Callithrix jacchus: one gene and its partners. The protein of the gene in region 5 purifies or fractionates together with the protein of the main gene of each other region. This does not show direct contact. Links are inferred from orthologs where the notes say so. Each region holds a gene or a part of one and is shown on either strand. Other genes may lie near its edges.

Evidence for each region.
Region 1: the proteins of LLGL2 (region 5) and DCAF1 purify together in Homo sapiens (co-immunoprecipitation; 3 studies listed by BioGRID and IntAct, counting the BioPlex papers as one, with this or other methods). This does not show direct contact. The link is inferred for Callithrix jacchus from reciprocal best matches to the Homo sapiens genes LLGL2 and DCAF1.
Region 2: the proteins of LLGL2 (region 5) and PRKCZ purify together in Homo sapiens (affinity purification with mass spectrometry; 7 studies listed by BioGRID and IntAct, counting the BioPlex papers as one, with this or other methods). This does not show direct contact. The link is inferred for Callithrix jacchus from reciprocal best matches to the Homo sapiens genes LLGL2 and PRKCZ.
Region 3: the proteins of LLGL2 (region 5) and PARD6G purify together in Homo sapiens (affinity purification with mass spectrometry; 4 studies listed by BioGRID and IntAct, counting the BioPlex papers as one, with this or other methods). This does not show direct contact. The link is inferred for Callithrix jacchus from reciprocal best matches to the Homo sapiens genes LLGL2 and PARD6G.
Region 4: the proteins of LLGL2 (region 5) and PARD6B purify together in Homo sapiens (affinity purification with mass spectrometry; 7 studies listed by BioGRID and IntAct, counting the BioPlex papers as one, with this or other methods). This does not show direct contact. The link is inferred for Callithrix jacchus from reciprocal best matches to the Homo sapiens genes LLGL2 and PARD6B.
Region 6: the proteins of LLGL2 (region 5) and RAD18 purify together in Homo sapiens (affinity purification with mass spectrometry; 3 studies listed by BioGRID and IntAct, counting the BioPlex papers as one, with this or other methods). This does not show direct contact. The link is inferred for Callithrix jacchus from reciprocal best matches to the Homo sapiens genes LLGL2 and RAD18.

What each region holds. Positions count from the first base shown.
Region 1 is NC_133516.1:34,070,348-34,075,662, reverse strand, and holds the start of DCAF1 (DDB1- and CUL4-associated factor 1), read left to right. Parts: upstream 1-2,270; 5' UTR 2,271-2,478; intron 2,479-5,315. UniProt on the Homo sapiens protein: Acts both as a substrate recognition component of E3 ubiquitin-protein ligase complexes and as an atypical serine/threonine-protein kinase, playing key roles in various processes such as cell cycle, telomerase regulation and histone modification.
Region 2 is NC_133508.1:40,119,199-40,124,205, forward strand, and holds the start of PRKCZ (protein kinase C zeta type), read left to right. Parts: upstream 1-1,796; coding exon 1,797-2,177; intron 2,178-5,007. UniProt on the Homo sapiens protein: Calcium- and diacylglycerol-independent serine/threonine-protein kinase that functions in phosphatidylinositol 3-kinase (PI3K) pathway and mitogen-activated protein (MAP) kinase cascade, and is involved in NF-kappa-B activation, mitogenic signaling, cell proliferation, cell polarity, inflammatory response and maintenance of long-term potentiation (LTP).
Region 3 is NC_133514.1:122,481,796-122,486,782, reverse strand, and holds the start of PARD6G (partitioning defective 6 homolog gamma), read left to right. Parts: upstream 1-1,583; 5' UTR 1,584-1,740; coding exon 1,741-1,812; intron 1,813-4,987. UniProt on the Homo sapiens protein: Adapter protein involved in asymmetrical cell division and cell polarization processes. May play a role in the formation of epithelial tight junctions. The PARD6-PARD3 complex links GTP-bound Rho small GTPases to atypical protein kinase C proteins.
Region 4 is NC_133506.1:46,271,275-46,276,243, forward strand, and holds the start of PARD6B (partitioning defective 6 homolog beta), read left to right. Parts: upstream 1-1,506; 5' UTR 1,507-1,712; coding exon 1,713-1,778; intron 1,779-4,969. UniProt on the Homo sapiens protein: Adapter protein involved in asymmetrical cell division and cell polarization processes. Probably involved in formation of epithelial tight junctions.
Region 5 is NC_133506.1:131,439,694-131,444,950, forward strand, and holds the start of LLGL2 (LLGL scribble cell polarity complex component 2), read left to right. Parts: upstream 1-2,123; 5' UTR 2,124-2,356; coding exon 2,357-2,365; intron 2,366-2,865; coding exon 2,866-2,970; intron 2,971-5,257. UniProt on the Homo sapiens protein: Part of a complex with GPSM2/LGN, PRKCI/aPKC and PARD6B/Par-6, which may ensure the correct organization and orientation of bipolar spindles for normal cell division.
Region 6 is NC_133516.1:66,132,185-66,136,719, forward strand, and holds part of RAD18 (E3 ubiquitin-protein ligase RAD18), read right to left. Parts: intron 3,304-4,535; coding exon 2,966-3,303; intron 2,024-2,965; coding exon 1,949-2,023; intron 756-1,948; coding exon 656-755; intron 1-655. UniProt on the Homo sapiens protein: E3 ubiquitin-protein ligase involved in postreplication repair of UV-damaged DNA. Postreplication repair functions in gap-filling of a daughter strand on replication of damaged DNA.

The DNA of each region.
Region 1 (5,315 bases), on a different chromosome or scaffold from region 5:
TCAGCCTCCTGAGTAGCTGGAACTACAGGCACCTGCCACCACACCCGGCTAATTTTTTGTATTTTTAGTAGAGATGGGGTTTCACCATGTTAGTCAGGATGGTCTCCATCTACTTACCTCGTGATCCACCTGCCTCAGCCTCCCAAAGTGCTGGGATTACAGGTGTGAGCCACCATGCTTGGCAATGAGCAACTCTCAACAGAATTAATCACCAAGACCCAGACCTGCAGACCCTGAGAGGCAGTGGGATGCTGTCTTAGCTTAACTGCCAAAGTCAACAGGACTTGGTCTGTTTTAGCCTTCATGAAATGGAGTGCCCTGGACAGGGATAAAAGGCTCTTGGGTTCAAGGCTACCCCTGACTTCTGGGAATAGTAGCCTTCATTTTAAGGGAAGGAGCTGGGCATGGTCAATCACGCCCTAGACTGTGAGCCTTGAGGGCAGGGCCTGTGCTGCATTCTCCTCAACACTGGAGACATAGGGCACAGGGCGAGGGCTCAGGAATCCTAACTGAAAACAGAGGTTTGTTCACTTGTTTTTTTTTTAAATATCTCTGTCCCCCAGGCTGGAGTGCAGTGGCATGATCTCTGCCCACGGCAACCTCTGCCTCTCGGTTTCAAGGGATTCTCCTGCCTTAGCCTCCCGAGTAGCTGGGTTTACAGGAGCATCCAGCTGATTTTTGTATTTTTAGTAGAGACAGGGTTTCACCATGTTGGCCAGGCTTGTCTTGAAATCCTGACCTCAGGTGATCTGCCCACCTCGGTCTCCCAAAGTGCTGTGATTACAGGCGTGAGCCACCCTTGCCCCGCCTTCTGTTTTTAGACAAAGCTTCCATCCAGTGGCTGATCCCAAGCCCCACTTACAAAGTGTGACCTTCCGAGGCAGTAACTGAGTTTCCACATTTTATGGAATGACCCTTTCTTCCCTGAGTGGTTTTCTGTTTTCTCCCCTGGATTGGCTCTTCAGTAGGTGGGATTCTCTACCCTTTGGAGAGAGTAGGCACTGAGCACTCTAGTTTCTTCTGACACTCTTCTTCCTCTGTGTAATCCAGCAGTTAGGGGTTCCAGGCTACCAAGGCTACCAGGGTTGCTTTTCTTCTTTTTTTTTGAGACAGAGTCTGGCTCTGACACCAGGCTGGAGTGCAGTGGCACAATCTCGGCTCACTGCCTCCCAGTTCACCACCTCTGCCTCCCAGTTCAAGTGATTATTCTGCCTCAGCCTCCCAAGTAGCTGGGGCTACAGGTGTGTGCTACCACACCCAGTTAATTTTTGTATTTTTCAGTAGAGATGACCATGTTGGTCAGGATGGTCTCGATCTCTTGAACTCGTGATCTGCCCACATCGGCCTCCCAAAGTGCTGGAATTACAGGTGTGAGCCACCTCGCCCAGCCCAGGGCTGCTTTGCAGCCGAGTTTGGTCTATGTGCTTGCCCAGGAAACAGGTAGGAATGGATAGTCAGGCATGGCTCATACATGTAATCCCAGCACTTTGGGAGGCCGAGGTAGGTGGATCATCTGAGGTTAGGAGTTCGACACCAGCCTGGCCAACATGTTGAAACCCTGTCTCTACTAAAAATACAAAATTTACAGGTGTGGTGGCAGGCACCTGTAATCCCAACTACTTGAGAGGCTGAGGCATGAAAATCGCTTGAACCCGGAAAATGTACATCTCAGTGAGCCAAGATTATGCCACTGCACTCCAGCCTGGGCAACAAGAGTGAAACTTCATCTCAAAAAAGGAAAAAAAAAAAAAAAAAAAAAAAAAAAAAAAGATAGTCATAGAGGGATGGCACTGAGGAGAATATCTGGTCCCTGGATCAGGGGCCTTAACCTCCTCTTTCAATAGATCACCCAGAACATCAGTGATCAGGACACTTATATGTACTCAGCTGGGTCAAGGGTCCTCCTCCTGCCCTAGGGTCTCAAAGGACAGGACAATGGTTAAGGAATACAGGCTCAGACCCCAACCATTCTCATCTTTTGGTGATGACTGAGACCAGAGAAACTGACCCCATCTGGAGTCTCCAACAACCCTTCTCACCCACTAGAGCCTGAGGCTGGTCTGGTGAGCTCCTCCAGACTCTACACCTCTCTCCAGAGTCTACAGGCTGCTTATGAAGTCCTTTCTCCCCCAAAGTCATGCCCACTAGTCCCTGGTTGCCCTGGTCCCTGGTCCTGTGGTGGGGCAGCCAGCTTTGTGACTTCATAGAAGGCTATCTTGTGACAAGTCTGGGCCTGGTGAAGCAGGAGCAGGGCAAAGGGGGCTCCCCTTAGGAATATCATGTGACTTTTCATAGAGAGACATCTCCATCTCTAAGGGATGAAGAAGAGCTTCCCCACAGTAAGAGCCCATGACACCCTCTACACCTAGAAACTCCTCTCCTTGAGGATTTTGGCTCCCAGGCCTAACTGGGTACTCCAGGCTGTATCTGGCAACATCTCCAAGAGGGCCAGGCCCACGGTAGAGGTATTTACTTCAGGTGATGGGTGGATCTCTAACCTCTGAATTTGTCCCATTTGACAAAGCCATTTTTCTCTAGGCCCCCCCTCTCTTTTCTTTAATTTCAAATATTATTATTATTATCATTTTTTTATTTTATTTTGAGACAGAGTCTTGCTCTGTCACCTAGGCTGGAGTGCAGTGGAGCAATCTCGGCTCACTGGGTTCAAGCAATTCTTGTGCCTCAGGACTCTGAGTAGCTGGGATACAGGCGCACAGCCGGATAAATTTTGTACCTTTTTAGTAGAGATAGGGTTTTGCTATCTTGGCCAGGCTGGTCTAGAACTCCCAACCTTAGGTGATCCATCAGCCTCGGCCTCCCAAAGTGCTGGGATTATGGCGTGAGCCACCACGCCTAGCCATAAGAATGATTTTTATTTTTATTTTAAAATTATTTATTTGTTTATTTTTTTTAGATGGAGTCTTGCTCCATAGCCCAGGCTGGAGTGCAGTGGCGTGACCTTGGCCCACTGCAGCTTCCACCTCCAGGGTGCCAGTTCAAGCAATTCTGTGTCAGCCTCCTGAGTAGCTAAAGATCATTCTGGGCCGGGCACAGTGGCTCACACCTGTAATCCCAGCACTTTGGGAGGCCAAGGTGGGTGGATCACTTGAGGTCAGGAGTTCCAGACCAGCCTGGGCAACATGATGAAACCCCATCTCTACTAAAAATACAAAAAACTAGCCAGGTGTGGTGGTGTGCACCTGTAATCCCAGCTACTCAGGAGGCTGAGACAGGAAAATCACTTGAACCCAGGAGGCAGAGGTTGCAGTGAGAAGAGACTGCTTTATTGCCTTTTAGCCTGGGGACAGAGCGAGACTCCGTCTCAAGAAAATACAGAAATAAAAAACAAATACAGGGGTTTCTGAGAGCTTGGAGGCCAGGCCAACACAGACCCTCTCCCCAATGTTAATTCCACTCTTCTTCCTCCTGGAAGGATTTCCAACCCCAGGAACCTGAGGCAAAAGAGGCTGGGTGTGCTTGCTTTTTTATCTCCCCAGTACTTGTGCCCATGGACCATGTGGGCACTTACATTGTTGACTTTGTGGCATCTGTTTCTTTCTCTGTAAAGTGAGAGTGGTGGATGTGAATGTAATCAGACATAATTACACACCCTTTGGGAAATGGAGTGGCATTCCCTCTCCTCATTTTCTCTGGGGGGCTATCAGGGCCACGAGGCAGGAGCAGGGCACCCAGTGAATGACTGGGATTTCCTCTTTGTCTAGGCTGGTGTTCTCAAGGATGGTAACCTTGAGCCTCTAATTGGTAGCTTCTGTGACACTCCTGGACACTTGCAGTAGCAGTCTTGTCTAGCCTAAAGGAGAGCAGGGGTGGATATGGGACAGCTGGCCTCACTTCCCAGCCCTAGGGAAGGGCATTGCTGGAGGAAGCACAGGAATTGTGGGGTGACACCAGGGTAAGGATGAGCTGGTGGGTGCACCTGGGTAAGCCTAGAAGGTGCTGGGAGTGAAAAGCTCGTAGAAGGATGGGAGCAGGAGAGGGAGGAGAGTGAAGGAGAAGACTGAGGCCCAGAGAACCTGCTGCTGTCCACTTTCCTACCCAGGTAGTGGGTGTGCTTGGACGTGGGAGTAGGTAGAGCATGCCTATCTGTAGGCCTTGGTCCTGGGGCCAGGGCTGGGCTCTTCTTGCATTTTCTCTGCTTCTGGGCAGCTCCAAAAGCACTCCTCGCTCTTTCAGATGAGGCTTCTTCTTTCTCAGGCACACTACAGAGCAGGGGGTGGAAGAGGCAGGGCAGGGTAAGACAGAGTCCAAAGATGTCCCACCAAAGATGCCAATAAATCTCCTTCCAGTGATGCAGGACCCATGTGCCAGAACCAAGCCAGGATGTGGCCCTGGATTGTCTGTAGCTTTGTGTGTTCATATGCTTAGATGTGAAAGTATTTGTTGTGAGGACTGGGTGCCTAATGCATGCTTGTGTATCTGGCAAATGTAATACTTGAACAGTGAAATGTGTCACCAAGCACACTTGGAATGTGTGTGCAGTTGGGAAAGCCTGGGTGCTCCCCCTTCTCCTTCCCAGAGGTGGGAAGGAGGTGTTTAGGGGTGTCTGTAGGTGCATGGCTGTGTGCATGTCAGGGAGGGGGAGGTGTTGGCAGGGGTAGAGGAGGCTACAGGAGTTACAGAGTGCAGATTCCTGAGGGTGTGGCTGCTGGACAGGCCCTGCTCATCTTCTGCTCTGCTTCCCCAGCCTCTTAGGCCCTGGGTTCTCCAAAGCCCCTCCTTAATGCTTCTTGCTCCCATCATCAACCCAGGACCCCAGGCTGAGTTTCTGCTTTTTTAAAGAAAATAAAAATAAAAAATTTATTTTGGGTGGCTCATGCCTGTAATCCCAGCACTTTGGGAGGCCGAGGCTGGGGGATCACCTGACGTTGGGAGTTCGAGATCAGACTGACCAACACGGAGAAACCCCTTCTCTACGAAAAATACAAAATTAGCCAGGTGTGGTGGCATGTGCCTGTAATCCCAGCTACTAGGGAGGCTGAGGCAGGAGAATCGCTTGAACCCGGGAGGTGGAGGTTATGGTTGCAGTCCAGCCTGGGCAACAAGAGTGAAACTCTGTCTCAAATAAATAAATAAATAAATAAATTAAATAAATAAAAATAAAATATTTTGTAGAGACAGTGGAGTGGGGGTGGGGGTGAGGGTGTTCCTCTATGTTGCCCAGGCTGGTCTTGATCTCTTGGGGGATCAAGATATTCTCAGCCTCTCAAAGTGCTGGGATTACAGGCCTGAAACACTGAGTGCCAGGTTGCATTTCTGAAAGGAAGCAGTGCCATCTGGTGGTAGGCTGAGGCAGT
Region 2 (5,007 bases), on a different chromosome or scaffold from region 5:
GCCAGTGAGCCTTGGTCAGGAGCTCAGCAAGGCCATGTGAGCTGGTGATGTGAAGTGGTCCAAAGGTTGAGGCCAGGTCTCCACACTTTTAAAAGCTGCAGAATAGGAGGGGGAGGGATGAGAGATTTGGGGAGCTGGAACCGGGGGTGGGGGATGTGTGAGCCTTTTCAGTAGGGGTCTGATAAGAAAATGTAATCCCAGCACTTTGGGAGGCCGAGGAGAGTGAATTACCTGAGGTCAGGAGTTTGAGACCAGCCTGACCAACATGGTGAAACCCCATCTCTACTAAAAATACAAAAATCAATTGGGCATGGTGGCGGGCACCTATAATCTCAGCTACTCAGGAGGCTGAGGCAGGAGAATGGCCTGAACCCCGTAGGCAGAGGTTGCAGTGAGCTGAGATTGTGCCATTGCACTCCAGCCTGGACGACAAGAGTGAAACTGTCTCAAAAAAAAAAGAAAGAAGAAAGAAAGAAAAAAGGAAAACGTCTGAGAAACGACCCCTGTATTTAAAACGTGGGAGTGGCTGGTGGCAGGAGAGGTAGCCAGGGAGGGGCCGGCTTGGCAGAAGCTTTGGTGAAGAGGAGCAGAGATGGGTCGGAGGACGGAGCGAGGGTGCAAAAGGTGTTGAAGAAGGAAGGACAGCTTCTTCGGAGGAGAGGGCGGACATGGGTTCTGTACCCACAGGTCTCCCCAGGGCCTGGCATCAAGGTGGCGATTTAGGATGAAAGCAGTGGCTGTGCCTGGGTGAGTGGCGTGAGGGCGTGGCCTGAGATGTGTCGGGGAGGGGCGTGAGGGCGTGGTCTGAGCTGTGTCCGGTGGAGGGGAATGAGGGCGTGGCCTGAATTGTCTCTGGAGGAAGGGCATGAGGGCGTGGCCTGAGCTGTGCCTGGGGGAGGGGCGTGAGGGCGTGTTCTGAGCTGTATCTGGACGAGGGGCGTGTCCACCTGGTGCTTGGGTGAGGTCCTCCAGGCAGCAGATCTAAGCTTCAGTGGATGGAGCCAGGACGGGATGGACTGATCAGGGAAAATTCGACCACATTTCAGGGGAGGAGCCCAGGAGGCAAGGAGCTGAGCGGCGGTGGAGGGGCCTGCGGGGCGACTGCCCAGATCAAGCCCCCCTAGTAAGGCCCGAGAGGCTGTGGCTTCAGAAATGAAGTTCCTGGCGACTCCGGCCAATGCTGTGTCCTTGACCTGGGAGGAGGAGCGAGCGGGAGCACTCGCGAGTGTGGACGGCCCCTCCCTCCAGGGGACCTTGGATTCGCTGGGGTCGGAGCGGAACTGGGGCCCCGAGAACCCGAGTCCGAAGCCTCCCGGGCGTGGCCGTGGCCGTGGCCGTGGCCGGGTTCTCCGCCCCTCGCAGCTTCAGTACCGCCCTTGTGAGATGTCCGGGACCCCTGGACGGCCGGCCCCTCAGGCTGGCAGCGCCGGCCGCAGGAGTTTCGATTCGGAGGGTCTGGGCGGGGCCGAGAACTGGCGTTTCCAGCGAGGTTCCAGGGACGCCACGACCGGGCGCACTTCGCCGAGGGTCTCACGGGGAGAGCGCCGCTCCGTCCCCCAGGCGGGGGCCCCGCGGGTTGCCGGGCAGAGCCGGGCCGGGCGCGGTCCCATTGGCGCAGGTGCGCGCGCCCCGCCCGACAGGTAGCCTCCCGCGCCTCGCCATTGGGCCGCGGCTGGGGTCCCCGGAGGATTGGCCCAGGTGGCGGCCCCGCCTCGCCCTCATTGGCCGCAGGTGCCACCGCCCGCCCCGGGACCGCCCGCCCTGTGGATTGGACGCCGGCTCCACGTCGGTCCGCCATGTTCGGACACCGCCCCCGCCCTCGCCGGACGGTCCGGCCCCGCGCGTCCCCTCCCGCCCCGCGCGTCCCCTCCCGCCCCGCGCGCTTCGCTCCTTCCCCGCGCGTCCCACGCGCCCTGCGCGCAACCCCAGCCCCGCGCGCCGCCGGAGTTCCGCGTGGTTGGCCCGCCCGGCGCCGTCGGTCCCCCTGCGCACTGTCTTCCGCGTTCCGCCGCGGCCCCTCCGGGCGCCCCCGCCCCGCCGCCCGGGCCCCGCGCCATGGCCGGAGCTCCCGGGGCGCCGCGCTGACTGCGGCCGGCGGAGCGCGCCATGCCAAGCAGGACCGGCCCCAAGATGGACGGGAGCAGCGGCCGCGTCCGCCTCAAGGCGCACTACGGAGGGTGAGGCGGGAGCAGCGGCGGGAGGTGTGGGGACTGCGCCGTCGGGGCTTCTGCGCGGAGGGAGGGGAAGGCGGGAGGCGGCGGCGAGATCGCGGCGGGCCCGGGGCTGTCTCGAGAGGTCCCACCCCCCCCCGAGCGTCACCCGCGGACACCCGTGGGCAGCGCGGGGCCCCTTCCCGGAGCGGGTTCCCGGCTCGCATCCACGCCGCGCGCTCCTCCCCTGTCTCCGTCGGGGACGTTTTCGCCGGAAAATTGGGCGGCGGCGTTCAGGCCAGAAACCTGTGGGAACCAAACGTTTCCATCAAGTTGTGGAAAGTCCTGGCGGGTTCCTTAAAATGGGCGTTTTCTCCGCTTTCTCCGGTTGTTCCCGGCGGTGGGTCTCGCCTGAGGCCGAGTCCGAGGCCCCGGGGCGCGGGCGCGGCGGCTCCAGTGCAGCCCCCGGCAGGGCTCGGGGGTCGGGCGGGGACCGGAGAGTTTGGGGGTTATGGCCTGGCCGAGCTGTCCCCGGGGCCGCTGCCTGGCGGTGGGGCTGGGCGGGGTCGGAACCGGGGGCTCCTGGACGCCGGGCCTCAGCCTCTGGGCCGCGCTGCGGGGGCGGAGGGGGCGCTCCGGGTGGCCGGGCTCAGGCTCCGCGGAGGGGCCGCTGCCTCCGAAGTGCGGGCGGTGGGGAAGGCGGGACCCGCGAGTGTTCCTCCTCCTCCGGCGCGCGCGTATCCAGGAGCCCCGAATTCGGACCTAGGCTCCCGCCGGGTGGCCGCTGCTGCTTGTGGGGGAGGGGAGCGGAGTGCGGGCCTCGGGTTTCAGGTTTCACCGGGGGATCCTGGGGATCCCGAAGGCCTTCTCCAGCCCGGCGAGCACTCAGCTCCCGCGGTGGCGGCCTGACCCCCAGAGGCAGGGACTGGTGGTGGGGGGAGGGGGAAGACAGGTGACACCTTTCCCGGGCCACGCCCACTCAGGACTGTGTCCGGAAGGTCTCTGTGCCGCCCTGTGAATCTGAGGGCTTCAGCTCCTTGCGAATCTTGTCTTGGGGTCTCAGGTCAGGCCTCGGGGGCTGCTTGGCCCCTGATTTGTTGAGGAGGCTCAGTTGTCTTTTCTTTGGGAAGGTTGGGGCCTCTGCAGCGCCCCCCTGGCAAGCACTGGAACCCTCGGGGTGCAGTGGGGGTGAGTTTGGTGCCAGAGCTGGAAGAAAGGGATTTCTGGGGGACGGGCCCCGAGGGTTCCACGGCAGCCATGTGTTCTGGCCTGGAGGTCAGCGGGTTCAACGTGTCATCGTTGAGGTCCTGGCTGTCGGATTTGTCCAGGGACCTGGGCTTCTGTCTCCTTCCCAGCCTGGAGCCACCACACTGGGCCACAGGGGATGGTGCGGGGTTCAGGGGCATTGGGAGAGGGAGGTCCACATCCACAGGGCTGCAGGGGCCTGGACCCTTATGTATTGCGGGGCTGGATTCCCAGGACCAAGGCTCCGGGCAGTGCCCCCAGAGTTCTGGGCGGGCCCGTCCTCCCTCTCCCCTGCTTCGGCCCCGGGAGCACTTTGGTGTAGCGGGTGTAATTTCACCCGGTGACTCTGGTTTCCCTGGCTGGAGAGACCGAGCTCCCACCTCTTCCTCTTCCCTCCCTTCCCGGACTGTCTCCCCTCTCTCCGCACCCTCTCCTCTTCCTCCCTCTTTCCCTGTTGTTTTCCCTGCTCTTCCCCCTCTCCCCTCTCTCCCTTCCCTGCTGCACCCCTTCCTTCACCTTCCTCCTTTCAGCCCCTCCCCCACTCCCAGGGTGCCTCTCCCCTCTGGCTCTCCATCCTCTTACCGTGCCTACTCCCATCTCACTCCCACATTCTTCTCGTTTCTGCTGAGAGTGTGAAGTGCCCCGCTCCTCATGCCCTCTGGGCACCTAGTGCTTCCCAGGGGACTGGCTGTGGGGTGGGAGACCAGGCCTTAGGGCAGTGACGCAGTTCCAGGAAGCACCTGCCAGTATCAGCACTGGGTTATGGAAAGCCCTAGAAACTCCATCCCTGGGGTGAGACGCTGCTGTCCTTGACACATGGAAGAGTAGTCTCTAGAAAAAGCGGGAGCTCTTCAGTCACCCCCATGGGACATGGTCACCCTGTCATCTTTGTCCATCCTTGCAGGACTCTCTGGGTGCGCTTGATATCCAATCCTCACCACCACCCTTCCCCCCCGCCCCCTATGGCGGTTATTCAAGGGCCTGAGGGGTCCCCAAGCACCTGTGTTTTCAGGGAGTCTCAGGTGCCCGCCCTATTAGGGTGATAAACACTGCTGCTGGCTCTTTCCTCTTCAACTCAGACATTTTTTTTTTTTGAGAGGGAGTCTCACTCTGTTGCCCAGGCTGGAGTGCAGTGGTGTGGTCTTGGCTCACCGAAACCTCCACCTCCCGGGTTCAAGCGATTCTCCTGCCTCAGCCTCCCGAGTAGCTGGGATTACAGGCATCCGCCATCATGTCCAGCTAATTTTTTGTAATTTTAGTAAAGACAGGGTTTCGCCATGTTGGCCAGGATGATCTCGAATTCCTGACCTTGTGATCTGCTGGCCTCAGCCTCCCCGAGCGCTGGGATTACAGGTGTGAGCCACTGCACCTGGCCCAGCTCTGCCTTTTACCAAAACTTTTGTGTTCAGGGAGCTTCTCTGTGCAAAGCCCAGGGCTTGGTGCTGGGGCCAGGGTAGGGTAGTTCAGGGCTTGGTGCTGGGGCCAGGGTGGGGTAGTTCAGGGCTTGGTGCTGGGGCCCACAGAGGCACAGGAGTCTTATCTCTGGTGGTCCAGCTGGGTGCTGGGTCCTGGATGCCCCTGCCAAGGGGCACAGAGCAGCTGCTTGATTCAG
Region 3 (4,987 bases), on a different chromosome or scaffold from region 5:
TCACACCTGTAATCCCAGCACTTTGGGAGGAAGAGGTGGGAGAATTGCTTGAGGCCAGGCGTTGGAGACAAGTGGGGACAACATAGACTTCTGTCTTCACACACACACACACACACACACACACACACACACAATTAGTCTGTGTGGTGGCACAGACCTGGGGTCTTGCTATTCAAGAGGCTGAGGTGGGAGGATTGCTTGAGCCCAGAATTTTGAGGTTGGAGTGAGCTATGATTGTGGCATTGCACTCCAGCATGGGCAATATAGCAAGATCCTGCTTTTAGAGGGAAAAAAAGTTCATTATATGGCATAAGCTGAAAAAAGCAGGTTGTAAAACTAGATAAGCAGCATTATCACAGTTTTGTAAAATATACAAATATATATGCAAAAAAATAAGTGAAAATAAAATACACCAAAGGTTAATATAATTCATTGCTGAACTGCATGACTACGGGTACTTTGTGCAGTTTTTTCACTTATTTGTATTCTGCAGGTTTCTTTTGAAATGAATTTATGATGAGATTTATAATTATATAACTTGAAAATTACAATTCATAGTATGCTTTACAATGATTTCTTTAAAAAACTGTCTTGTCTTCCGCACTTCACAAATTCGTCAGAGTCTAGGACTGCATCTCTGGTTTCAGCAAGCCCCTGTTTCAGAGGCCTCTAGATTGATAATCATTCAATGATGCTGCTAGTAATTGATTCTTTGTCCTAACAGGTTCTCTTCTTCTAGCTGCCTTAGACAAAAAGTCTCCTCTCACATCGGGCAGGTCTACAGGTGCTTCTGATCCTGTCCCGAGAGATAGGCTATCTGATAAAACCCTTTAAGCCCTTATTTTTACTTTTCATTCTTTGAGACGGAGTCTGGCTGTCTTCCAGGCTGGAGTGCGGTGACGCGATCTCGGCTTACTGTAGCCTCCGCCTCCCAGGTTCGAGCGATTCTCCGGTCTCAGCCTCCCTAGAAGCTGGGACTACAGGCACACACCACCACACCCGGCTAATTTTGTATTTTTAGTAAAGACGGGGTTTCACCGTGTTATCCAGGCTGCTCTAAGCCTGTCTGATAAAACCCTTCTCCCAGACCATCAACAACTTGACAATTAGTACTGACAGGTGATGCCTTTTGGTCTCCAGCGGTTCTCGTTAGCATTCTTCTCCTGAATATGACCCAAAACAATGGCACAGATCAGCCCCTCTCCTAGGTTGCTCCGTGGAGCCAATCAAAACGAGACGCCTGGGCTGGGCGCGATGCTTCTTTCCCCAGGCTCCGGGATTGTTGGAAAAGAGCGCACACCTACTGGCCAGGCGCCGCTGAGCAGCAGCGTGGGGGCGGGGTGTGGCGGCGGGGCGGGGCGGGTCCTCCGGAGCGCGGGGCGGGGCAGAAGCTGGGCGGGGAGGGTCCTCCGGAGCGCGGGGCGGGGCAGAAGCTGGGCGGGGAGGGTCCTCCGGAGAGCGGGGCGGGGAAAGGGCGGGTCCTCCGGGGCTCGGGGGCGGGGCGCGGGCGAGGGCGCGGGGAGGTGGGGCGGCGCGCGCCGGCGTCTCCGGCGCTCCTCCCGCGCGCGGCCCCTGGATTCCCTGAGGCGCGCGGCCAGCCCAGCTCGGGCCCGCAGCTCCGGGAGCAGCCCGGCGGCCGAGCGATCAGGGGCCGGACCGGGGCCTGGGGGCGCTGCCCCCGGGAGTCTCTGCGGCCCCTGAGGAGCGAGGGCGACGGGGAGGCTGACCGGGGCCGAAACCATGAACCGGAGTTTTCACAAGTCTCAGACCTTGCGATTCTACGACTGCAGCGCGGTGGAAGTCAAGAGCAAGGTAAGCCCCCCGCGCCCCCCGCGCCCCGACTCCTGGCTAATGAATGGGGCGCCCCGCAGAGGCGCCTGGCGCCGGCGACAACTTTCGAGTTCGGGCGCCGCGCGCCGCTCCGCCGGACGCGCACTGGGACCCCGGCCGTCCTTCCCGCCTCCCGCGCGGACACAAAGCCCGGCAGCCGCGGCGCTCGGGGGCCGAGGGCCATCGACAGTCCGTGCAGGCTCTGGACCCGCGCCGCGGGAGCTGCTCTTTTGTTCCACGAGCGAGAGGCGACCGGGGCGCGCCACACATTGGAGGGGCGGGCGGCCTTTCCGGGGCGAATTCAGGACCAGGGGCTGCTCGGATTCGGGGCCGTGGAGGGGCCTGTGGGGGCCCGGGCCGGGGGATGGACCTGGCCAGGGCGCCTTCAGTGCTGCAAAGGGGGCGCCGGCTCCGAGCTGGGCGTCCCCCACCCTTTTGGAACCAAATGCCAGGCATTAGGCGCGCTCCCCAGCCCAGACCCAGAGCACCCACCGGGCTCTCCCCAGAACCAGACCACGCCCCCGGGCGCGTCCCCGGGCCAGACAACCCACCCCCACGGGCGCGCCCCCAACCCAGACTTCCCCGCCGGCGGACGCGCCTCCGCCCCAGACCCAGACCCCTCCCCCGGGCGCGCCCCCGGCCCAGACCCGTACCCAGACCACCCTCACGGGCGTGCCCGGCCCCTCCCGCTGCCTGCGCTCTGGCGGAGCGTGCCCGAACTTGCGGGTCGCGGTGAGCGTCTGGGTAATTGGCTGATAGGATCTGGCGCTTCTGCCCTTTGCGGGGGTGGTTCCTTCGCTGTAGATGCTATTGTTTGTTAGGGTCTCCGTGGTGGACCTCGCGGGCTGAGGAGGAGCTGCAGTTGTTGGGGGATTCTGCGGGAGGGCACCCCTCCAGCCTTTCCCTGGCTACTCTCTGGGAGTTGAGCGGCCCTCTAGCCCTTTCTCTTTTTGCACCCCGGGTCTCAGAGTTGTGTGAACGGCTCCTAACGGCGGAGCAGGAGCCCTGACACCCAACTCTTGCCTATCTGGGCGCAGGGCGGGTGTTCCTTCCCCTGTGTCTGTGGAGGCAAGTCTAACAGCCCCCACTCCCTGTGCTGCTCTGACCTTTGGTGTAGGATTTACAGGGTGTCGTCCACAGAGGATGGGGGGTTTGTGTCCCAGCAACGGCACGGCCACCTCTCCAGACTGCTGCAGTGAGTTGCAGGATCCTTCTTTACCTGCGGGTACACGGTCTTTTAATGAATCTCTTATTTATCCTAAGATCCTGTTCTTATCTTTGCCCCATGACCTCGGCCCCACACCCATCTTCTCTGGAGCACAGGAGTGCCCCCAACTCCCCCAAATCAAGTGTGCCAGCTGTGGGTTAGGTGAGGGGAAGAGCCCACAAGCGTGGGTGGGAGGTTACTTTAACTCAGTGTGAACAGCTCTCTGGAGCTGCGCTGTCTAGTATAGTAGCCAGTAAACACGTATGGTATGTAATCTTATTTAACTTTTTATTTTGAGATTATTGTAGATTCACAAGCAGTTGTGAGAGAATGTAGAGGTCTGTGTATACTTTGCTCAGCCTCCCTGATGGTGACATCTTGTGTGACTAGCACACCGTCATATCCTGGACACAGACCTTACCGGGTCTCAGCAGCATAAAACGCTCATTCGTGTACACTTAGGTCTGTGCAGTTCTGTGATCGCTATCTGCTCCTCATATGAATCATGCAAGGTGCAGAACAGTTTCCTGCTTTCATCTTAGGATCCTTCCTGCTGGCCTTCACAGTGACTATTTAACCAGGGACGTTAAAGACTTAGTCTGGGCTCATCGGCCCTGTGCAGAGGGTGGCTGCCTCCTCACACACAGCTCCAGAGAATCAGAGGCCTCAACCAGGCCCAGGGTAGGTCTGGAGGACATGCACTTACCAGGTCTCATCCCGCAGTCTGGGCTGCTGGCACTACAGAGGCCGCCTCTGCCTTCCCGGGGGTGTCAACTTGCCTTCCTCTGCCAGCTCCACTTGGCAAAGAAGGGGTGCTGCCTCACACCCCAAGCATGGGTTCAAGTATTGCAGCTGTAAAATGGGCATGATACCTTTTCTTCTTACCTCTCAAGATGAAATACAATGAATGCAAGAGCACTTTGAGTTAAATACTGCAGGTCAGAATTCTTCGGCATTTTAAGATATTGGGTGGGAAACTGTCTTAGGTTCTCAGAGTTTTTGTCATTAACTATTTACCACAGCTGGTCAGCCCCCAGTGCTTAGGGACAGGATCCCGGTGCATGAGGGGGCATATGTTATTGATCTTGACCTGGTGGCTCTTCCCCATTTTGCAGCCCCTTATACTTCTCCAACCATTTTTACTTTAATTACAGTGATTCATCTGTTCCTCGGCAAACCAGCGGCATGTACTTCTGATTACCTGGTTCTGGTCATGGGACCACCCTTTCTCCCCCTTACCTTTGACTTTTTCCTGTCCTTCCACAGGACCTGCAATGGGGAGGGAGGAGCTGTGCAGATGTTTAGGGTGCTTCAGGTTGAGGAAAGCAAGTGTCCTTGGCCACCTTAGAAAGTAGCAGAAAGGCCAGTGCTGGGATTGGGATGGGTTTGCAGGGGGCCGTAAATGTAGATGAATTTTCATATGAGGAGCAGATAGCAAGCAATGCGATGCCACTATGAAGTTAGCAATGCCTTTTAACCACATTAGTATTTCGTCAGTTCCACTGTCATCTGCAAAGGCTTGAAAAATCCAAAGAAGCACAGCTTATCCCCACCCAGCTGAGCCCGGAGCCCTGTTTCTTCAGACTCGAGCATAGATGACCCACTCCTCATGGCCTTGGCCCAGGCTTTCTTTGCCTGCATGTCCCTAGTTTGTGGATTCCCCTACTTGAAATGCTTTCTCTGGGAATCTACCCTATCCTAAGGTTCTTCTTAGACAGCTCCCTCTTCTACAAAGTCATTCCGCATGCCTGTGACAGACCGAGCTTTCTCTTTCTGACCCCGTCTTGGTGTTTCTGGTTATCTTAGGGCACTTGTCGTGATGCTGGTGCCACAGTTATGTTTGAGGCACCTATTGTCTGTCATGTTAATTGTATCTGGAGGAGAAGGTTTCCATCCCATTTGTGCTTCCTTATTAGATAATATTGAGACTTTTTTGAATTCTAAACAAAC
Region 4 (4,969 bases), about 85 Mb from region 5:
CAAAGCCCAAGTGCTCCCTGCCTTCGGGAGCTTTCATTCTATGCTGGAGGCGGATTACTCACAAAACTCAGATGCACACAAAAATGGAAACCTGGAACTTGTCACCCGTGCTGGGAAACCGGTACAAGTGTTAGGAGGCATCCGAGGTGGGCAGGGAGGTAAGGGGAGGAAGGCACTCAAACCACTCTTCTTGCCAGATCTAAAGCTGGACCCTCCTCCTCCACCTCCACTCCCCCACCCCCTTTCTGGTTTGCAGGTTTCAACAGCTCTTGGATTCCCAGAACCCACAGGGAGCCCTTGGGACTTGGGAATCTCCTCCAGCCCAAATCTTCAGTCTTCTCCTCTCCTCCCCATGGCCAACAGGGTCTGTGTGAAGAGAGGCCGGGCTCAGGGACTGGGACATTCAGAGAGGAGAATTCAGAGTTTTGTTGCTCTGGGACACAGCTTGGTCACTCCGGGAAACGAACACAACCCATTGGCTGTCATTACTAGAAACAGCGAATGGCTAAGGAATGGCGGGAGGAGGGAAGAGGACTTCAGAGGTTTAAAGAAAAAAAAAAAAAAAAAAAGCACTGGAAGACCGGACTAGAAATCCTCTGGGAGGCTGGGCCCGCAAGGAGCCTTCCCGCGCCTCAAGCCCACTTTCCTTCCCTCTCGACCTGACGAACTTAGGGCGTGCAGAGTCTCTTCGGACAAAGTCAAGCCAAGAGAGCCCTAAGCTTCTCCTCCAGCAACTGCTACAGAAGCTAGAAAACTTAAATTTTGCAAACAAGACTTGCAGCGGGACACCTAAGCGACGCTAAAGGGCGGTGGAGGGGATGCCGCTTCCCAAAGTGGAAGCGGGGAGGGGGACCGGCGGACACCAAACAGCCCCGTGGAGCCTCGGCCACCGGCAGCGCTAGGCGCCCCATCCCCAGAGCCAAGCGTGTGACTCGCGCGCCGGACAACGAGGCGCGCGCTTGCGCGTGCGCAAAAGACCCACCCAGCCGAGCCCTTCTTCAGGTGCGCTCGCGCTTCCGGCCGACCGCCCCGCGTGCTTTCCTCGGGCGGAAACTCCAGAACCCGCGCATGCGCCCTCTGGCTCTCCGGCTTGATGAGGGGCGTAGGTCCACGGCTTCAGGTGATCCCGCCCCTCCCTCGAAGCGCAGGACCAATCGCGCAGCGAAAGGCGGGGTTTTTTGAGGAGGCGGCCCGCCCACGCATCGCGCGAGGCGTGTATCGATTGGTTGGCGCCGCGGGCGCAGGTGCGCGTTTCCTATTGGGTGTGGGCGGAGCGCGAGCGGTTGCAGCAGCTTCGGGGGCGGCAGGTGAGCACGCGCACGCGCCGCGGCTGTGGCCCGGCTCGGGTGCGCGCGCGCGGGCTCGCGGAGGAGGTGGCTGAGGGAGAGGTTGCGGCGCCTGTGGCCTCCGCTCCGCCCCCTCCTCCTCCTCCTCCTCCAGCGCTGTCGTCGCCGCCGCCGCCGGGGCCCGGAGGGAGGGAGCTGCGTCTCCGCCCGCCGCACAGCCAGTCCGACCCTCGGTCCCGCCGTGTGAGCAGCCGACCGAGTGCAGCTCGGCGCAGACGCCAGAGGTGCGGCCGCCTTCTTTGCAGGTGCCTGTGAGGAGGCTCCCGGGCCGCAGCCGCCTTCCGAGCCCGCCGGCCGCGCACTCGCTCCCTGCTCTCCAGAGGGGCCGCCCGGCCGGAGGAGGCCGCCGCTGGCCCGGCGTTCAGCATGAATCGCAGCCACCGGCACGCGGCGGGCAGCGGCTGCCTGGGCACCATGGAGGTGAAGAGCAAGGTGCGCGGGGCACGGGCTGGGCGGAGCGGCGGGCCTGGGGGGCCAGGGCCTGGGAGAGGCTGGGCAGGTCTCGGAGCGCCGGGGGAGGCGACGGTCCGAGCTGCCCCGGGGTCTGGACGTGCGGGCGGGGGATGGTGGGTAATAAACTTGCCGAGGAGGGTGCGGCGGGGGTCGGTGGGCGCTAGTGTCCGTCCGCCCATGGCCCCGGCAGGAAGAAGATCTAATCCAGCGTTTAATCTCGTCCCGTAAATCTCATTCCCGTGTTCACGGCTGGGAGTAGGGGCCAAGGTATGCCCGAGGATGGCACACATTTAGTGGAATGCGAGGCGGCTCAAAAGATGTAGGGGAATCCTGCCTGCTGGGCTGTGAATAAAGGGCCCTGGACCACCTCGTTCCCCCTTTCTGGGGTTCAGGGGCGCATCGAGTGGCGAAGGAGAGAGCCCAGTGAACTAAATAGCCCTTGAAAAGTTCCCTTTGCTTCCTGCTAGCGCTCTTTCTAGAACTAACTTTGGTATGCATTTAATCTGTAAAATTAGCGCTATCACCTTACGCTGGAGTAGCACTTTACAGTTTGAGTTTGGATGCTCTTTTCATTCCATCCTGCTACTTACTTACATCAAGTGTTTTTCCCCTTGACCAGCGGTATGCCAATCTGCTGATAATTATTTCGGTATTCACTGAATTCCTAAATCGCAAGGCTCGGTGAGCAGGGGAGTCTGTAGGGATTAGTTAGGGAATGCCTTCCAAAGGGGGTTTTGAGATGGAGTTTGAAGGTGATCGGCAGCTACGGGAACATTTTCGACGAAGTTTCTTGAGTTGAAGAGTTAAAAGGAGCTTAGATAGTCTAGTCCAATTCTCTGAGAAGACTGAGGTTCAGAAAGGTTATGACTTCCCAAGCTCTTTTTTTGCAATGCCTTCATGCCTTTTTAACAGTAACTTTTAGGCACTGCAGAATACAAAACAGGGCACTGGCTGGGCCCTCGGAACATTTAAAATAGAATTGAAAAGGCCAAAACACAGAAAACGAAAAAATTGAAAGCGTATCAATTTCAAAAAAAAAAAAAGAAGTAATGGAGCGTCATAGATTGTAAGCCTACTAAGGAGTATGCAGAATCAAGGAGTGAGTTGAGTGGAGTAAGGAAAGCTTTCTAGAGCCTCTGGGTAGAATGGTTTTATTGTCTACGGTTGATAAGCAAAGTTCTGTAAGTTTCTGTAACTGAGAATCACATCGAGAAAATCTACATTTGTTTGTAACATCATTTAAAAATGTGATTTGGCACTGAAATGAGGATTGGCACTAGTTTCAGAATCAGTAAGAAGTGTAGTTATAGCAATTTAAGGAATGTTCGTGTGTCTGTGTGCCATGTGCACGGCATAGCAAATTGAAGTGACTTGCTTGAGCTATATAGCGTGAAGATGACCCAAAATATGTAGCAGAGCTTTTCCTCTAGCGGTATAGTGGCAGTAGTGGTTCCGTGCCCAGTGGTTGAACCTTCTTACAGCATTTCTGTTATAAGTCTCGTTTGGATTTGTGGGCGTTGAGGTTATGGAAAGAAAAACACTTGTGATATTGCATAATCTTAAAAATAAGTTTATAGCCCTAATTTGGGTAGCAAATCTTTAATTTTTTTCTCATAAAAAATGAGTTGGAATTCTGTTTTATCAGTATTTATCAGCATGCTGATAAATACAATCAAATAGTAGTTTATCTCTAGTACTAAGAAACCTTGAGTGCTTTAAAACTGGAATTTCAGGCTTTTTGCCTTTCTCTTGTCAACTGATTTTTGAATCTTTCACATACTTCTGTCTAAACTACATGTTGTATATTTGAACTGCCATACTGCACTTTTAGTGAACCATGTCTCTTAAGTAGACTCATACACTGATTCTAGAAACATGCACTGAATGAATGCACTGAATGCACTATTCTAGCTGTTGACAAATAGGCAAGGTATAGGTAGGGGAGTATTCCTAATGTGTCTGTGACACCTTCTATCTTTCAAATATATATTTCTGATACATTTATTTTCAGCGGATTGAAATATTTGTCATCTAATCATTTAAAAAATATTTGGAGGGGTTTTTAAAACAGTATTTCCTTTGACATTGCTTTAGTGATAGCACAGCTTTTTTACAACACTAATCCCTAAGAGTTTGTAACGAAATAGGTAGTGTGCAGGTCCTTTTATTAATTCTTTTATTTTTCGTGTCAGGATCTTGCTCTGTCACTGGGGCTGGAGTACAATGGCACGATCATGGCTCACTGCAGCCTTAACCTCTCGGGCTCAAGTGATTCTCCCACTTCAGCCTCCTGAGTAGTGGGATTATACGCATGCGCCACTACACCCAGGTAATTTTTTTTTTTAATAGAGACGGGGGTCTTGCCAAGTTGCCCAGGCTGATCTTGAACTCCTGAGCTCAAGTGATGCCCCCATCTCTGCCTCCTGAAGTACTGGGACTACAGGCATGAGCCACTGCACCCTACCTGGTCTATTTTTCTTTTCTTTTATTTATTTTTATTTTTTAAAATCTTTTTAGAAACAGTTTTGCCATGTTGCTCATGCTGGTTTCTAACTCCTTAGCTCAAGTGATCTGCCCACCTAGGCCTTCCAAAGTGCTGGGATTACAGGAGGTAGCCACCACACCGGGTTCTCGTCCATTTTTAATATCTCTTTTTCTTCATATAAAGCAGTAGTGTCAGCCGTGTGTGGTGGCTCACTCCTGTAATCCCAGCACTTTGGGAGGCCAAGGTGGGCGAATCACCTGAGGTCAGGAGTTCAAGACCAGCCTGGCCAACATGATAAAATCCTATCTCTACTAAAAACACAAAAATTAGTTGTGCTTGGTGCTGCATGCCTGTCATCCCAGCTACTTGGGAGGCTGAGGCAGGAGAATCATGTGAGCCTGGGAGGTGGAGGTTGTGGTGAGCCGAGATTGTGTCACTGCACTCCAGCCTGAGTGACAGAGGGAGACTCCGTCTCAAAAAAATAAAAAGTTTGAAAAATGAATTAAAGCAGTAGTGTCAACTTTCTTATCTTTGCAAGTGGCAGGGAAAAATAATGATAATAAAATAATGGAGAACGTAAATATAAGTATAGTTAAATTTGTGATACCAGCTAGTATGTCACTTTTCTTTGGAAACTGATTTATCTTCCTAACTGTATCTCTAGTGTTGGAAAGATTCTTAATCA
Region 5 (5,257 bases):
TTGGACAAGGTGTTTCGCTGCTGTGATCTGTTTCCTCACCTGTCGAGTGGGGACATTCCACTTACCTTTCAGGTGGCTTCCGAGATCAGGGTGTTGTTGAGGAGCTCCACGCTCACAAACATACTCAGCGCCAAGGAAAGGAGGTGGCCAGGACATTCAGTGACCCATGACAGTGGCTCTCTGGGTACTGGGGTTTAGGGAGGATTTTCTCCTCTGTATTTGCTTTTTCGACAATGGGCACAGACTACTTGAGCAAAATTGTTTAAATGCAATAGGCTGCAGAGGGTTTGGTACACTCATTCCTGGGTGCACAGCAGGTGCTCAGTGTCCTCACCCCCCTGACTCAGTGGGGCCCCCTCCTGATGACATTGCTATACCCTGCCTCCCTCCTTCCTACCAGCATCTCCTCCCAGCCCCCAGTTCTGCCTTGTCACCTTTGAGCCTGTGTGGAGTCTTTGGCACAGATGGCCCTGTGCCCTCTTCTCCCCTCCCTGGAGTCTGCAGGTGGTGGTCACTCTCCAGGGAGCCCCCATCAAGCTTCCTCTGACTTCTGACCCAGTGACCTCGGCCTGGGCCCTGGGTTGGGGTGTGAGCCCCCAGGAGTCCAACTGGTTTATGAACGTGAACTGCCCTCTCCCAGGCTGGAACCCTCCCCCAGGCTGGAACCCTCCCCAGGCTGGAATGCTGGGCCGGCAGATCCCAGTGTCCTCTCACTTCCACTCCCAGAAGCCCCAGGGGCTTTCCCAGCCAGTGCCTATTCTCTGAACCCCCTCAGGGCCTTGGATCAAGTGGACCCTAGGAGTTTCCCGGCCACCTGCTCTTCCCCAGCAAAGTGGGGGCCCCACCTTTGGGCTGACTCCTCCAAAATATAAAGGCATATCTCATACTGACCTTGACCCACCTTTTCAGTTTCCCCAGAAGGGGGCTGGTTCCTGGTGTTCGGTTTAGAGGTAACTGACCCTTCAGATCCTTTCACTCAAGGAGGATGTGGCTCTGCCTCTTTTTTTTTTTTTTTCAGAGGTTGTTTTTATTCTGGTGCCCAGGCTGAATTGCAATGGCCTGATCTCTGCTCTGCAACCTCCGCCTCCCAGGTTCAAGTGATTCTCCTGCCTCAGCCTGCTGAGTAGCTGGGATTACAGAGTCTGCCACCACACCTGGCTAATTTTTGTATTTTTAGTAGAGATGAGGTTTCCCCATGTTGGCCAGGCTGGTCTTGAACTCTTGACCTCAGGTGATCCACCTGCCTTGGCCTCCCAAAGTGCTGAGATTACAGAACTGCCTCTTTTTTACAGTGTGATTTTGCAGAATCGGGTCACCCTCCCAGCATGGCAAGCCCTCTGCCAGAAGACACCCCCAATTCTGCCACGCACATTACCTACCTTCTCCCACTCGACCCACATCACAAGGGATCCTATCATATGCAAAGTCCTGACCTGATAATTAATTTTTGCCACCTCCCAAGAACCCGAAATCCTTCAAGCCTCAGTTTAGATTTTCTTCTTTTCTTTGTTGTTTCACCACATTGGCCAGGCTGGTCTCAAACCCCTGACCTCAGGTGATCTACCTGCCGTGGCCTCCCAAAGTGCTGGGACTACAGGCGCCCATCACCACGCCCAGCTAATTTTTGTATTTTTAGTAGAGACAGGACTTTCACCGTGTTGGTCAGGATGGTCTCCATCTCTTGACCTTGTGATCCACCTGGCTCTGCCTCCCAAAGTGCTGGGATTATAGGCGTGAGCCACTGTGCCCGGACTTAGATACCTTCTTCTCAAATATGAGCTGCCCTCCCCACTTCAGGCCAGGTGTTGTCTCTACCTGCCCCTGCCCGGAGTGCAGCCTCCAGGGTGGGGATTAGATCTGCTTCCTTCCTCACCCTGCTGGGAGTGAGCAGAGCTGTGCCCCAGGTGGGCCTGTGTCTGGGCTTCCCAAGGATGGGCCTTGCTGTCCTGTAGTCACGAGGAGGCTGAGCTACTAGAAGCCAGAAGCTGGAGCACAGAGGCTCCTTCCCCTTCCCCCAAGGATAATCCAGAAATAGTTTCCCCTTGGGCTGGGAATGGATTCTGTGGTGGGCGGAGAGTTTGGGGGCCTCAAGCTGGTTTCTTTATTGGGAGCAGATTTCTCCTGATTATTCTCCACTTGGGCCCATGGGAAAGAGAACCTTTCTGAGCACACCCCAATAGACCACAGGAAGGTTGGACTGGGGCTAGCCAGAGAGAGGGGAGGGGACCCGCAGAGACCCCGGGCACAGTGGGATGGGCCAGCACTCTGACTGAGTGTCCTGTGCCATCCGTGCCCACTCGAGTTCCTCCTGGCTGTGGCTGATTGGAGAGGCTGAGGCGAGAGCCCATGGACAGCCATGCCCGAGGTTAGAAGGAAGAGGCATCTGCGCTGGGGCCCTGGCCTGGAATCCCTTGGGCCACCCCGATTTGGGCTCTGATTGGGGAACAGCCTTGGTGTTTCCACCTTCCACCCGACTTTGGAGGAAGAGGCTTGTGAGGTTTCCTTTCTGCTTTGCTGGAGTTCCATGGTTTCTCAGAATACAGGTTAACAATTAAGCTAATTAACCTCAGGGCTGGCAGGCCCTCCTTGTGCTCATAAAGCCAGGCTAAATGGCTTCCTCCCCCAGCTTTTCCTTCCCCATTATAAGGCCACAGGTGGTGAGAGCCTTCAGCCCTGAGGTGGTCCGGCCTCTAGATCTGAGCGTGGGGAAGCCAGGGTACCTGGGCGGTCACTGTGAAGCCGGCCTGGCCCCGGGGTGGCTGCCTACTAGACTTGGAGAGAGAGGGCCGCTCCACCTGTTTGGGCCGGGCCTCATCGATACCTGAGTGCCAGGACAGGCCCCTACAGCTCCTCCTGTTTCTCCAGGTTTCCGGTGGGGGCTGCAGACCAAGCAGAATGAGGCGGTTCTTGAGGCCAGGGCATGACCCTGTGCGGGAGAGGCTCAAGCGGGACCTGTTTCAGTTTAACAAGGTAAGTTAAGGAGAGCAGGGGAGGCGACCTGGGTTTTGGGCTGGGGAGCTCAGGCTGGGGCTGGATTAAGGTATAGCTCTTACATGGTGCCTGCAATGCCTCCTGGGACTCTGACTTTGGAAATGGGGCCCGGTGAAAGGGTTTTTATAGGAAAGAGGAATTGGATGCCCTCATGACTCCTCATCCCAAGTCTTTCACTGGCTATGTGACCTCTGCAAGTCACCCCACCTCATCGAGCCTCAGTTTCCCTACCTGTATCATGGGAATAAAACGATCTGCCCTGCCTGCCTTGGCACAGGGTTGTCAAGGAGGCTTGGGGATGTGCGTGATGAAAAGATGAACTCTGAAGGGGGTAACAGTGTCCCTTGGGGCCCTGGAGTCACAGGCCATGGCTGTTTATCCCTTCTCAAATTGCCCCTGAAGGAAAATGCAGCTCCCCTGCAGTCTGAGCACGTGATTCGTTCTGGCAGGCTCCAGCTGGGTGAGTGGGGAGAGGTGCCAGGAGAATGAGCCAGAACTGGCCTCGGACTACAATCCCAAACCTGTACCTGGGGCAGCAGAAGCCCCATGGGGCTTCCCCTCAGGGGCCTGGGGCCTGAGAAGGTCAGGACAGGCCTTAGTGCACAGGAGGTGTATAATGTGGCTTTTCAGCTCCTGGGCCACCGACCAGTGTGGGGCCTTATCGCCTGTGCTTTGATTCACTCTGCTGGGAAGGTGGGCTGCAGGGACCAGGACACTGTGTTGCTCTTGCCCCGGGGATCCAGGAGCCTCCCAGCATGCTGAGGGCTGGACGTCTGGCTCTTGTTGGGGGCTTCTGTTTGGGCTCCCTTGCCCCTAAAAGGAAGCAGTGCATGTAAGACCAGGCAGTCTGGAAAAGGGATGTCTCCCTGTGATGAATGAGGAATTCTCTTTGGTTGTATTTATTTATTTTTTAAGATGGGGTTTCACCGTGTTGGTCAGGCTGGTCTCGAACACCCGACCTCAGGTGATCCGCCCGCTTTGGCCTCCAAAGTGCTTAGATTACAGGCGTGAGCCACCATGCCTGGCCTATTTATTTATTTTTGAGATAGAGTCTCGCTGTTTTGCCCAGGCTGGAGTGCAGTGGCGAAATCTCGGCTCACTGCAACCTCTGACTCCTGGGTTCATGGGATTCTTCTGCCTTAGCCTCCCGAGTAGCTGGGATTACAGGCACTCACCACCACGCCTAGCTAATTTTTTTTGTATTTTTAGTAGAGATGAGGTTTCACCATGTTGACCAGACTGGTCTTGAATTCCTGACCTCGTGATCTGCCCACCTCGGGGCCTCCCAAAGTGCTGGGATTACAGGCATAAGCCACAGCACCCACCTGGTTGTATTTTGTTTGTTGATTTGAGAAGTGCAGAAGTCAGCTTGTCCAGGTGCGTACTCAACTTTGCCACGTAGGAGCTGGATGATCGTGTGCCTGTCACCCAACCTATAGGCTTGTTAAGGGCTTACGTGGGATGAGGTAACAAGTGCCAGGATAGTGGCCCAGGAAGGTTGGCTGCTGCTGTGGGGTGGAGGGGACCTCCCTGACCTCCCTGTTGGGAGAGGTGGGTCAGCGCTCCCCACGTGCCCTGCCATTTTCTTCTGGGTTTCTTAGCCTGTGGGAGAAGCTGGTGTCCCTGATGGAGCTTTGCCACAAGGACATTTGCCTCCGGAGTTAGGGCTTTCCTATACCAGCGTACCTCCCACCAGCTCGCTTTTGGGGGTGCAGGTGTTGGGAATGGGAGATCTCAGGACCCCTAGAGCCTGCTACTCTTGTTCTGGAGGGAGTAGCCTATGGGTGCTGGGTCTCAAAGCTTCAGTGTCCACAGGGGATGGAAGGGAGCTGGGTGACCCCTATCTGCCTTCAGTCTCTCACTCTGAAAAGGTGGCAGAAACCTGACCCACAGGCTCAGCAAACGGGGCTGAACTCCTCCCCTGCTCCCAAAGTTCTTTCTGTGCAACTGGGGTGGAGCTGGGGTGAGGAATTGTCCCTCCCTCTTTCCCCTGTTCTCCAGCAGTGGTTCCTAAACTTGATTGGCCCACTCCCAGGCCTGGGGGTGGCAGAGGGAGGCTCCTGGGTCTCCTCCTCCCCTGCCTTCCTCTTTGCATTCATATGCAAGAAGCATGCATTGAGTACTTACTAGATCCACAGCCCATGGCTGTGGGAATCTGATTAGGCCTCTTCCCTTCACTTTTATAGTCTGCAGGAAGGAGGAGGCTTATGGCCTGAAATTTCAGGCCTTGGGAGTAGAGAGAAGGAAGGGGAGAGCCTGGGGGACT
Region 6 (4,535 bases), on a different chromosome or scaffold from region 5:
AGTAGCGGACTAGTTTAAAAATTACAGTTACTTTGATGTACAAGAGAGGCAGAATAGCACAGTAGTTCAGATGCAAATACTAAGCTGACAATTTATTAGTTACATTACCTGGATGGTGTGGGGTTGGGGTGAGATGGGATACAACATTACATTTCACATTTGCATTTTCATACCTTTTTATATTATATAATATATATATATATAAAATTTCCTAGTCAAAAATTTTTGAAAACTTTGATTTTAAATTTTAAAACTCCTGAGCATCTTAAGGACCAAAGAAAGATTTCCTATATCCTATATTTAGAGTCTAATCTTGCTTTCTTTGGCCAAGAGGCTTTTTGGTAGTTCTAAAATTCTAAGAGAAAAAAAAAACTTTAAAAAGAATTGAATGTGAAGTCACTAATTTCTTATTAAGTCAAATTTAGTAGCAGTTCAAATATTCAATACAACTAATCATAGTTGGTAATGTGGGAGTTGAAGACAGAACAGAGGAGAGGAATTGGAAGAGGCAGCCAACAGGATTAAAGGAGAAATCAAGTAAGAGTGGGAAATACAGTCGCCAGGATAAAATGAATACTGTAATTTTCCCCCAAGTTTATAAAGCACAAGAGACATCCAGCTAAAGTAGCTCAATGGTTCTGCCCAGCCTCCTTACCTTCTGAGGCTTTCCTTCTTCTCTTCGCGTGTTAAACAGCTATCTAAATGCTTATTAATGTGATTTTCTGGAATGTTAACCCCACAAACAGGACAATCCACTGTATTTTTTAAAAAGAAAAAGACTTTATTAATTGTAGAAGGGGCAAAAGTAATGTAAACTGGAATCTTTTCAGCAATTAAAGTAAAAAAGAATTCCAACTTAATATGCACTTAGAAAAGCAGAAAAGAAAAAGAATGGCCCATCAGGACAACAGGAGTGGGACAGACTGGTTACTGGGTAATGGCCAAATTGTGGAAGGTCACACAGTTGAAGTCCTAGGCCCAGAAGAAGAAACTGCAAATAAGCTTGAAAGTTCGTTTACTAGAAAATGCTTTGGTTAAATCTTTTCTACCAAGGTATGACCAAATTATAATAAAACTAATCTTAAATTTTCCCAAGCCTTAGGAGCTATCCATGTTTAGCATAGAAGCAAGAGTAACCTCAGTAAGATATACCTGGCCCAGGGGCTGGGCAAAGGACAGGTACAACTAGATTAAATAATTATTGAGTTGGGCCAACTACTGTTCAATTTTGTCAATGATTACAAATTTGTTAATTTAGCTCTCATTTGTAATTCCATATATAATGTTAAAATTAAGGAATACTGTCATTCTCAAACTATTTCATAAAGTTGCAGAGATCTGTGGGGGTATCTCAGGGCCTACAGATCACCATGGATAAATAGGCAGGAGTACAGGTGGAACAGAACAATCTATTTTATATGTTATGGTTTATTGTAAAATTTCATTTGGGAAAAAAAGGTTTTGCTAGGGGAAAAACAGTTAACCATCAAGCTAAAAAATACTACAATAAGAATTGTCAATTGGTAAAAAGACTAAGGATATAGTTAAAACTGTAAGTCGGGCTAGGCGCAGTGGCTCACGCCTGTAATCCCAGCACTTTGGGAGGCTGAGGCAGGCGGATCATGAGGTCAAGAGATCAAGACCATCCTGGTCAACATGGTGAAACCCCATCTCTACTAAAAATACAAAAAATTAGCTGGGCATGGTGGCACGTGCCTGTAATCCCAGCTACTCAGGATGCTGAGGCAGGAGAATTGCCTGAACCCAGGAGGTGGAGGTTGTGGTGAGCTGAGATCGCACCATTGCACTCCAGCCTGAATAACAAGAGCAAAACTCCGTCTCCAAAAAAAAAGAAAAAGAAAATGTAAGTGAAATTTATATCTCTTTTAAAGAAGTAAACACATAAGTACTAACAAACTAATTCAATCTAAGTTTAATAAACACTCACATCTCTGCACTGTGTATGGTATGGGTATACCAAAGATGTCTAAGAGTTTCTGCCTAAAACGTGCTCTAAACTTCACTGGAAAGAAGACACAAAAACAAAAGGTTAAACAAGCTGACATATTTATCAAACAGCTAAGCAAATGGTATATAAAACAGTCCAGAAAACAAGTGTTATAGCACTTTTGTGATGTGAGACAGTGTTTTCTAACATAACCAACGAATAGTGAAGATCCGGATAGAGTCTGGAAAGGTATAGAACTTTTTAGTTCTATACTGAAATACAGAACTGAAATAACATTCACTAAGAATATTTGCGGTCACCAAACATTCTTAGTGAAGGGGCAGGTAGTGAAGAACTTAGACTTTATGAATCATATGGCCTCTGTCACAACCACGCAACTCTGCCACTGTAGCATGAAAGCAGCCACAGTCATATGTAAACAAATGGGTATGCAAACTTTTATTTACAAAAACAGGTGGCAAGCCAGATTAGATCTTCCAGCTGAAGTGTGCCAATTCCTCGGTGTACTGGAGGAACAGTGGGGAGATCAGCTTGGCTAGAGCAAGACTTCTGAGAGGGAGAGGTCAGCAATATGGCGGGATGACTAGGGTAGGGCTCCAATTGTCAAAGGCTCTACATGGCAGGCAGAACAGTGAGGAGGTGGTCAAGCAGTGGCAAAATAAGATAAAAAGAGCTCTTCAAGATTATATGCAAACTGATACACTGAATTGGGGAGAAAAGGATTAAAAGCTAAAAACAGAAAGCTACTGCCATACTTGAAGTGTGCCATACTTGAAGCCTGAACTAATTAAAATTGTATACTTTTTGTAGCAGTCAGCCTGAATTCCTATTTCTGAAAAAGAACAAACATATCTACATCAATGGCTGAGACTATGACACAGTGAAATATTATTTGTCCTTTACCATTCCTTCCCCCTCAAAGATGTTGCCTATTTATTCTTATGTCAAGTGGATGAAAAGATTTCCATACTTCCACATATGAAAATAACTTCCTACCTTTAGTAACTTGTTTCAAAGTGGATGTTGAGGGTGTCTCAGGACGCTGAGCCTCTGAGGAACCTGGAGCCATCTCTTCTACAGAACGTGTCTCTTTGGTCTTTGCAGCAGGGCTTGCCTCTTTTGGAGGGCTGAATTTGCTTTCATTTTCTTTTATCAACAACTCTGATGTAGAAACACTCGTTTCTCTGATCAAGAAATTATCCATTAACCTGCTCCCCTGCTTTAAAGACAATCTGGAGGCTATAGGAGTATCTACCTTGACAGCAAGATTCTTTGATGAGGAAGAAGCAGGAAATTTGGGTGGTGACTCTAAAGCAAACTGCAACAGATGATTCCTTGAAGTACAAAAAACACAACAGATAATTAAGATATCAAATTTTATACAATAAATTAACTGACATATGCTGTTTTCCCAATTAACCTTGTTTTCAGAAATACAGGACTTATACTATAATGACAAACAAACCAAAGTTTCTTCTAGAATAACTCAAAGCAATAAATCTAACTTAAAAGGCAGTTATGTGTCAATAAAACAAAATGAAAGGAAATCAGCTTTAGACCAAAGAGAATAGCTTATATGAGACCTAATCTCCAACTGTAAGTAACTTTAAGATCTGAACAAAATATACTGATAGAGTCTGGATATTGTTTCCACCAAATCTCATGTTGAAATGTGATTCCCAATGTTGGAGGCGGGACCTGGTGAAAGGTGATTGGATCAGGAGGGCGAATTTCTCATGAATGGTTTAGCACCGTTCCCTTAGTGCTGTCCTTGTGACAGTGAATTCTCATGTGATCTGGTTTAAAAGTGTGTGGCACCTATGCCCCCGTCTTGCTTCCACTCTCAACCACGTGATAATGCTGCGCCTGTCTTTTGCCTTCCAATGTGATTTTTAAGCAGCCTAAGACCTCACTAGAAGCTGAGCAGATAGCTTGTACAACTGCAAAACTATAAGCCAACTAAACCTCTTTTCTTTGTAAATTGCCCAGCCTCAGGTTTTACTTATGGCAATGCAAGAATGGCCTAACACACATTAAAAAAAAAAAACCAACTCTTTGTAGGCACTGGACTGAAATCAACACAAGGCTGCAATCCCTGATAAAAAAGAAAACATTAAGTAATCCAACATTTCCCCAAGACTTTACCCTGGAAGCATTTTCTAGGAATTGGGTATTAAAATGAAGTCTAAGCAGGAAATAGTTATCTTAGTAGAGAAAATCAGAGATCAGAGTTCTGGGCAAAGGTGTCCAGGATTGAGGGGTCAGAGTACTTTCTGATGTGGTAGCTACTGAAAGGGAACCCCAGAAGTCTGCTCAGAAATTCACATCCACTTCTGCTCATCTCCAGGGCTGCACATGACTAGACAAAAACACAGGAGACCCAGTAGAAAGCTGATACTGGTAATTTAAAATCCCAAAGGTCAGTGCTGGAAAGTTAGTTATTAGCACTGAAGTCTAGCCAAAGCTGAGAAATCTTTATGAAGACGATGGATATTCAAGTGAGATCCCACAAAGGTCTCATCTTAGAAAAATGGACCACACTGAAAAAATACAAGTAAAACTCCAA